2 linked regions of the Drosophila melanogaster genome follow. The protein of the gene in region 1 purifies or fractionates together with the protein of each later gene. This does not show direct contact. Each region holds a gene or a part of one and is shown on either strand. Other genes may lie near its edges.

Evidence for each region. The genes of interacting proteins can lie anywhere in the genome.
Region 2: the proteins of CG11771 (region 1) and CG31098 purify together in Drosophila melanogaster (affinity purification with mass spectrometry, with the first as the bait; one large-scale study listed by BioGRID). This does not show direct contact.

Annotation. Positions count from the first base shown.
Region 1 is NT_033777.3:24,930,041-24,935,419, forward strand, and holds CG11771 (uncharacterized protein), read left to right. Parts: upstream 1-1,969; 5' UTR 1,970-2,092; coding exon 2,093-2,196; intron 2,197-2,253; coding exon 2,254-4,342; 3' UTR 4,343-4,879; downstream 4,880-5,379. Other genes in the region: Osbp (oxysterol binding protein), read right to left, coding at 5,359-5,379.
Region 2 is NT_033777.3:25,290,829-25,294,967, reverse strand, and holds CG31098 (uncharacterized protein), read left to right. Parts: upstream 1-1,990; 5' UTR 1,991-2,097; coding exon 2,098-2,940; intron 2,941-3,003; coding exon 3,004-3,220; intron 3,221-3,278; coding exon 3,279-3,472; 3' UTR 3,473-3,598; downstream 3,599-4,139. Other genes in the region: CG31102 (uncharacterized protein), read left to right, coding at 133-632, 697-1,060, 1,117-1,310; CG11893 (uncharacterized protein), read right to left, coding at 3,728-3,912, 3,976-4,139.

The DNA.
Region 1 (5,379 bases):
TAATAGATCACCAATTACTAAGCACATGCTTAAGATAGCCACACGCAGGCTTACCAATGCTCTCAAACAAGAGGAAAAAAACAGCCAACGTTCATATATCGAGCAACTCTCTCCCACCAGCACTAAGTACCCTCTTTGGAGAGCTCACAGAAACCTAAAGACTCCAATAGCGCCAATTATGCCACTACGAAGTCCCTCTGGCACCTGGTTTCGAAGTGATGAAGAAAGAGCCAGTGCTTTCGCTGACCATTTACAAAATGTATTCCGACCAAATCCCTCTACCAACACATTTATTCTCCCTCCTTTAATAGCAGCCAATCTAGATCCTCAAGAACCCTTTGAATTCCGACCATGTGAACTAGCAAAGGTTATCAAAGAGCAACTGAACCCAAGAAAATCGCCTGGCTACGACCTAATAACTCCAAGAATGCTCATTGAACTCCCAAAGTGTGCTATTCTTCACATCTGCCTGTTGTTCAACGCAATCGCCAAGCTTGGATACTTCCCTCAAAAATGGAAAAAGTCGACCATAGTAATGATTCCAAAGCCAGGAAAAGATAAAACGCAGCCATCATCATATAGACCGATAAGCTTACTAACATGTCTTTCAAAGCTGTTTGAAAAAATGCTACTCCTTCGGATTAGCCCTCATCTTAGAATAAACAACACACTTCCAACACATCAATTTGGCTTTAGAGAAAAACATGGAACCATCGAACAGGTCAACCGAATCACGTCAGAAATTCGTACTGCTTTTGAACATCGAGAATACTGCACAGCCATTTTTCTAGACGTCGCGCAGGCATTTGACAGAGTGTGGCTCGATGGACTTTTGTTTAAAATAATCAAGCTGTTGCCCCAAAACACACATAAGCTACTGAAGTCATACCTATATAACAGAGTGTTTGCAATAAGATGCGATACAAGCACTTCACGCGATTGCGCAATCGAAGCTGGAGTGCCGCAAGGCAGTGTACTGGGTCCAATCTTATACACCCTGTATACGGCGGATTTCCCCATAGACTACAATCTAACAACCTCCACGTTCGCTGATGATACCGCGATACTCAGTCGCTCGAAATGCCCAATAAAAGCCACGGCACTCCTATCCCGACACTTAACATCTGTAGAACGATGGCTTGCCGACTGGAGAATTTCAATAAATGTTCAAAAATGCAAGCAGGTTACCTTTACCTTAAACAAACAAACATGCCCACCACTGGTCTTGAATAACATATGCATTCCACAAGCCGACGAGGTAACATATCTGGGAGTTCATCTGGACAGGCGGCTCACTTGGCGCAAACATATAGAAGCCAAATCGAAACATCTTAAACTTAAAGCAAGGAACCTCCACTGGCTCATAAATGCTCGCTCTCCACTTAGTCTGGAGTTCAAAGCTCTTCTATACAACTCCGTCTTAAAACCTATCTGGACTTATGGCTCCGAGCTGTGGGGCAACGCATCCAGAAGTAACATAGACATTATTCAGCGAGCACAGTCAAGAATTCTGAGAATTATCACTGGAGCGCCGTGGTACCTTCGGAACGAAAACATACACAGAGACCTAAAAATCAAATTAGTAATCGAAGTAATAGCTGAGAAAAAAACGAAGTATAACGAAAAGCTGACCACCCATACAAATCCCCTCGCAAGAAAACTAATCCGAGTATGCAGTCAAAGCCGGCTGCACCGCAACGACCTCCCAGCCCAGCAATAAACTTATTAGGGCATTAATGAAAAAAAAAAAACTATCACTAAGTGAAAGTTAATTAAGTTAGATTAAGATTTGAACACTTATTGTTAGTCTCTTAACACAAAGGGAAGATTCAATAAATAATAAAAATTAAAAAAAAAAAAAAAAAAAAAAAGAGAAGTCACAGATTAGGATAGATTGGATTCAGTGACTGCAGTAAAGTGTGATTTTCGCATCACTGCCGGCTCCACCGCTGATGGTGGCAACCCTGGCCGCTGTCACTTGCTTTTTGGTCCAGGCGTGTTGTGTAAACGCTGGCCCCCATTTCAGAATCCCAAATTCCGGCGCAAACTGTCCGGAATTGTACATATCTGGATTAACGACTTCACCTAGGACATGCTAAATCTCCTACGAAGGCGCCCAACGTCGGTGCCCCTCATCCGGGCCGCGCTTAGCGCTCCGCTGCACTCAACGGAAAACCGGCCGGGTTACATAGTGCTGTAAGTACGAAAATTACCCGGATTCAACATGTGGAGTCACTAAACCTATCCCCGCAGGGTACCGGAGATCGGTGAGGAGGGACCGCTAGGCGAGGGCGTGCTCAAGCCGGACGGACTTCCCGCCTTCAGTGACATCACCATCGAGATGTGCTTGGGCGCCATTGGTCAGCAGGCATCGGCGGTGGAGAACTCGGTGAAGGCGCTGGAGAGCGACCTGCACAGTGGCAAGCAGCTAAATGCCGCCAGCATCTTTCGGGAGCTGGACACCGTGACGGGTCCACTGGAGACGACATGGGGTGTGGCCAAGGCTCTGTACCTGGGCAATTCTACCCTGATACCCACCAAATCCTACATGAACATCCACGAACGAGCGCGTAACGCTCGGGCAGCGAAGTTCTGCAATCAAACGGTGTATAAGGCACTCAAGGATGCTTCGTCCGATTCGGGTCCAGATGAGCAGAGGATGCGACAGAAGTTCCTGCTCGAGGGCAAGCTGAACGGGCTCACGCTGGACAAAGATAAGCAGGATGGACTGAAAGAGCTGCTTACCCATTTGGGTCGAGAGAGAGCCAACTTCAAGAACAAGGTCAACATGGCAGTGCACTCGTTTGGACAGATTATTACGGACTTCAATCTTGTAAGAGATTTCCCGCCTTCGCTTCTTGAGGCAACAGCCCGCGATCCCGGACAACCTATGACGGGTCCTTGGAAGATAACCCTACAGCCTCAAGTGGTCGATGGTTTTCTAAAGCACTGCCCAGAGCGAATGCAGCGTTGGAACGTCTGGAGGGCCAGTGTGCTGAAGGCATCCTCGCAGCAGGAAAAATCCCTGGAGAACAGCACACACATCGAAAAAATACGCGGTTTGCGCAAGCGACAGGCAAATCTGTTGGGCTATGAAAGCTTTGCAGACATGTCCATGCAGACCAAAATGGTGGGCAGTGTGGACAACCTTAAGCAGATCTTTGCCAAGCTTCTCAAGTTCGCCGGCCCTGCTCAAAGTGTGGAGCTGGAGAAACTACAGGGCTTCGCTCAGGACAGTGGCTGTGAATACAAGCTGGAAGCCTACGACGTTGCCTACTGGCGGCGCAAGCAACTGGCGGCGGAGCACGGTCTCCAAGATCAGAAGCTCCGCGAGTTTTTCCCACTGCCCCGCGTTCTTTCCGGCTTGTTTGCGCTGAGTGAAAAGCTCTTCGGCATCAAAATAGTTGAGCAGCCCAATGCGGAGGTGTGGCATCCGGCAGTTAAGTTCTACGATGTGTTCGATGCTGATTCCGTCAATAGCTCCACCCCGGTGGGTGGCTTTTATGTGGACTGCTATTCCAAGGAGCACAAGTTCGGCAGAAACAATGGTTGGATGGTGGGCATACGGAACAGCAATAAGTCTGCCGGGCTGACGCCTCTCTGTGCGCTGATATTTAACTTTTCGGAGCCACAAAGTCCGGATGCCAAGCCCCCGCTTCTTGGATACGATGATCTGCAGATGCTCTTCAAGACTTTTGGAAGCGGACTCCAACACCTGCTCACCCAAGCGGGGTACAGCGATTTGGCGGGACTCTCAAACATCGAGTGGGATGCCTCTCAAGTGTCCGGTCATGTGATGAGCAACTTCCTCGACGATCCCACAGTGATTCGAAGCCTATCCGGACACTTTAGCAGCGGTGAGCCCTTGGAGGCTGAGCTTTCACAGAAGATGCGATTGCTGAAGACTCAGTTGGCTGGCTATAATCTGTGCCAGGACCTCTACCTGGCGGATCTCGACGTGGAGCTGCACCGCTCGAATGCCTTCTGGCTGGAGGTGGTTCGCAAGCTGTGGCCGGTTTATCAATGCATGCCGCTGGACAAGAAGGACGCACATCCGTGCTCCCTGACCGACATTTTTGCCGGAGATTGGGCGGCCGCCCAGTTCAGTCACTTGTATTCCCGCCTCATAGCCGCCGACATTTCGAGCAGCTTTGCTGAGCAGCGAAGCGAAGAGAACTACGCGGTCGTTGGCCGGCGCTACAAGCAGACCTTCCTCAGCTGCGGCGGATCTGTGCCCACGGCGGAAGTGTTCCGTCGCTTCCAGGGTCGCGACCCGTCGGCCGAGGCACTTCTAAAGTCGCTGGACATATTTGAACCCTCCCAGACCACAGATAACAACTGAGGGTCGCCCTCTGTTCCGCTAAAACGTTATCTATTGTGTGTAGTCAACAAATGCTGATCGATGGCAGCCTGTGGAGGCCCGACGAGTGGCAACCTTATAGGAAAGTAAGCATTGGAGTATTGGAAAATATTTTAAAATAGTTTTGAAATGTATTCTGTTAAATATTTGTTTATTGGTCAAGATCCCACTTGTACTTATTTAAAAGAAAGTATAGCCGTAATTGAATGACCCCAGCCAGGAAACTGAAAACCAAAAACGATTGATAAGGGCTTTATAAATTTTGGAAGTGTAACTATTAAAACAAGAATTCTATACTTTACGCCTCCACGATTTATTAGTCGGCAATTCGATCTACACCCTAATTGGCAGCCGGATGTGATAGCGATCGCGTGAGTCAGGCGGGATCTTATCGCAGGTGTGCAGGTGGTGTCGCCAGGCGACATCGTCAGTTACCCCAGTTGAACACACATACACACACACGTTGTTGCTTTATTTAAATAATACTTTAATAATAAATTGCATAAATTTATAACATTTAACATATTCTCTCGCTTCTTGCTCGGTTCTCTCGATTCGGTTCGATATATTTATATACACAACAAAGGCGAAGTATGCATTCAGCGGAAAGGAAAAAGACATCTAGGGGTTTGGATGGAAACCGAGGATTAAGAGCTATCATCTGTCTTGGCCTTCTGTTGGAAAGCCACTAGAAATGGTTAACCGGTAGTCAGGAAGAAATAATCAAAGTACATTTCGACGCAGGGGTATGGATTAAACTTGGTTAGTTTACAGGAATTAATTTATATATATATATATATATAAATATGCTCTAGATCAAAGTGTGGTACTACAATATGCGTATGTGCTGCTCCGAAATCAGTCGGAGCGTGTCCCGCTGTGGTGTGTTAGTTGTGTGTGGAGGCTGGATATCTGAAAACTTTAGAATATTCGCTAAGGCTGCTATGTGTGGTAGTGGCTGCAGTTGCTCCCTTGGCTGCTCCGTTGGCTACTGCTGTCTAGTATATGTCCGGACAGCC
Region 2 (4,139 bases), 360 kb from region 1:
CAAATTACAAAAATTAATTCCTATTTAGTAATTAAAACAAATTTGATTCAAATCAACTTGAGTGCTTTCTATATATAATACTATTTATATCAAACAATATAACAACTATTCGATTTATCGATCGTTCGATAGATGGATTCTCACAGCAAAAGTCCTACATAGTAAAGACCATGCTGGACGACGCCCAGGGAAATGGTGGATTCGTGAATACCCTCAACATTTTTCCAAAGGAGAAGATGATGTACGAAACGATTATACCTAATTTGGAACAGCTTTACGAAGAAGCTGGGCTGAGTGTAAAGTTTGCACCAAAGTGCCACCATGCGGAGGATATCAAAGGAAGGATCTGCCTGGTTCAGGAGGATTTGCAAACGAAAAAGTACCGAAATATAAATCGCCTCAAGGGCTTCGACATGGCCCACATGCATCGAGTGCTAGAAAAGCTGGCGGAATTCCATGCAGCAGGTGCCGTTTGGCGTCAGCGAAAAGGACCGTTTCCCGATGATTTTCAGAGGATTTACCTACCCGCCAACTATCAGAAATCGAAATCGTATCAGGCGAGGCTCCAGAGCTATAAAACTGCAATAGCCAGTTGGGGTCTGGCCGATCACGAACAGTATGTGAGTCGCATTGTAAGTTAAACAATCTAATAAATATCTTAACATTCAATAACATCGATTTGATGATGTATTCAAGCCCACGGCCGATCAATTTGTGCAATCCTACGCCAGCTGCTTTAACAACAATCCGCAGGAGTTTAAAGTTCTAAATCACGGTGATTTTTGGTCCAGCAACATAATGCTAAGCTATACTCAAACTGGTGATATCAACCAGGTGCGTTTCGTGGACTTCCAACTGTGCAAGTGGGGTAGTCCGGCTCAGGATCTTTGGGAACTCATCATATGTTCGGCACGGCATAGTATACGAATACAATACTTTGACTACTTCATCAGGATATACCACACACACCTAGTGCGCTGCCTAAAGATCCTAAAATACAGCGAACGAATACCAATGCTAAGGGAGCTGCATATGAGCATGATCAAGTATGGATTTTGGGGTAAGAATTTAACTAGACGATCACTATATATAAATGATACAAAACTCTTTTATCAGGCTACTTTACCACCTTCACGCACCTTGTGTTCATTTTGCTGCCACCGGATACGGAAGCTAGCTTGGTGAAGCTTACGCAGCCGGGAGAGGAAGGAGATCGCTTCCGGTCCAAGGTGTACACAAATCCACTCTACGTCCGCTCTGCGCTCAGCATATTCCCCTTTCTACTTCGGCGTGGTATTCTAGACTTTTGAAGCGGTTCAAGTCATTACTGTTAAAACCGAAATTAAGTATATGAATTTGTATTAAAGACTAAAAATGTATACAAGTAGATCGATATATATATATATTTTACATACTTTATCCCGTTTGGACTGTAACTTCTTTTACATCATAATTTAATATGTTTTCAACTATCAAAACAAATATAGTAAACAGCATAGTTTCAGCAGATAAACAAATCTATTTGTTTATTGAAATAATTTTCTGAAGTTGATAACTTGTAGAAAATGTGCTAATGCATTTCTGAAGTTCTGAAGAAAATCCTCTAACTGGCATAGAATATGTATAAATCTATAGAATATAGAATATATACCTATAGAATAAATACATTAGATAAATGCCAAGTCATTAAAGCTTATCACAACAGTTGCCTGTATTCAGATCACATTTTATTTGTTCCCCAAGGAAAACAGTAAAACATCACTAACAAGTACGTTAAATATATATGTATCTCTGTTTTTCCACTTTTATTTGTTGTTATCGGGCACAAGTTCCACACTGCTCAATAAACCGGTTTCATTGCCGCCATAGATTCCACATGTACATATAAATAATATTATATATACATAAATCAGCTGATAAGCCAGCGCAAAGCTAACAACAGAGAGAGCTTTACAGAAGCTCTATCTTTCTCCCAGCCCGTCACATGTTTTGCCCCACATTCTTGATTCGATAGCCCCCAGCGTAAGTTGCTACTCAGCTCTCTGTTATTTTTATTCGGTGCGGTCAGGTGACTTGAGAAAAAAAGAAGAAAATACAATGGGAACCGGCAGCAAGAACTACCAGGCTCCGGAATGGCTCACCGCCGAATTCCTGCAGGATGTGCTGAAGGAACACTTCAAGGAAGAGCAGCTGGCAGTCACCGAGTTGATAGTAAAGAGCGCCCAAGTGGGCGACCAGGCGGCGGGATTTGCCAGCGAAATGCATCGGGCCAGTTTCAATCTTCAGAGGGGCACTGCACCCAAAGGCAAGTTTTCAGTGATTGTGAAGGATCATCCCAAGGGACAAACAGGTGCTGTGGCCCACAGGAGTAAGCTCTTCAAGCGTGAGATTCTGGCTTACAAGGAGGTGCTTCCACGTATTCAAGCCTTGCTCCAATCCATTGGAGATCAAACGAAAATTGCACCTACGTGCTACTACACCACGGAATCGCCGGAGCCATTCCTGATTCTGGAGGACATGCAGCTGTCCGGCTTCGAGAACTTCGAACGCGGTCGACTGCTGAATCTGGACTACGTACTGCCCACCATCGAGAAGGTCGCCAAGCTGCACGCTTGCAGCGCCCTTATCGCCCAGGATAGCCCCGAGGTGCTGGAGTTCTTCGACGAGGCGCCCATTTCGAGGAATCCGGACCGTCGTGACTTCCTCACCTTCTTCCCCGTCAACATTCGCTGCGTGGCCGAGGAAGTGGCTCACTGGAAGGGCTACGAGGAGATCACCGAGAAGATGTTCAACCTGGCCGAGAATGTCCTGCAAAGAGCGCTGACCATGTTTGAGAGCACAGGCAAGGATTTCCGGGTCTTCAACCTCACCGATCTGTGGATCAACAATCTCTTGTTCCACATCAACAACGAGACCAAGGAGCCAGACGATGTGGTCACAGTATGTCATTCATAGACGAGAATCCATTCGAAATCCACGTTAATTTATCTCTTCGTTCACTAGTTGGACTTTCAGTTGGCCTATGTGGGATCCCCAACCATTGATCTCAATTACTTCCTCTACGGATCCTTGAACGAGAATGTTCGTAAGGTCCACTATAAGTACATTGTGAGGGAATACCAGAGAGTGCTTCAGCAGACCCTGGAGAAGCTAAACTACCAGGGACACATTCCAACTCTTAAAGAAATCCACATCGAGTTGATCAAGACCAGTCTTATGGGTATGATCATCATCACCATTTATCTATATTGGTTTTCATAATGACTCCACCATTATAGGTGTCATTGGCGCCACTTGCCTGACTCCACTGATCTTCAGGGAGGGAGCTGGTTTCGAAAACCTTGAGGATCTGAACTCACGCACTGAGAGCGGTGATCGTTTCCGCCGGGAAAATGTTGAAAACCCCAAGTATCGGGCTTTCCTTCAGCGAACTATTAAAGAATTCGAGCTATCTGGATTCTTGGATGAATAGTGACAAAGGGCTAATGAAGATTGCGTTACATTCGATCAAAAGTATTCGGGCTTCCACATACAGTAAGCTTTCCAGACAAATATTCCATGAGTATTTTACACCCAAATTAAAAAAAAAGAAAAATTTAATTTGATGATACGTTTTGTTATTTAATTTAAAGCAAAAGGAAACCCTAAAAAATTACATGGTTCATATAGTTGCGATCAATTAGCCATGCAATATATACACATTTTAACTGATAGCTTTAAAAATAGATCAAAGATCGTTAAAGTATCCCATTTCCTCATATTTACCCAAAAGCTTTTTGACATCTTGAACATAAGGGTCATAGAGGTATGATTTTTGTCTGATTTCCGGATCTTGAATTAACTCGTGTATTTTAAACGTATTCGCTTTAACGGCCACAATCATTGGCGAAAAAGTGGTTAAAAGGAAGAAGTCTGTAAAAATATTGAAGTGGTTAGGCTTATTGAAACTAGGCGATAAATAAAATAGGCACTTACCATAAAACTTGTGTCGGTGTATTTGCTTCCACAGACCATCATTGGTCGGCATCTTGCCCTTGTAGCCAACTTTTTTTAACGTGTCCTCCAAAACCGAAAAATAAAAGTTAATAAGATCCTTTCCGAGATCCCATCGCTGCTCTGGCTCCATGAGCATGTACACA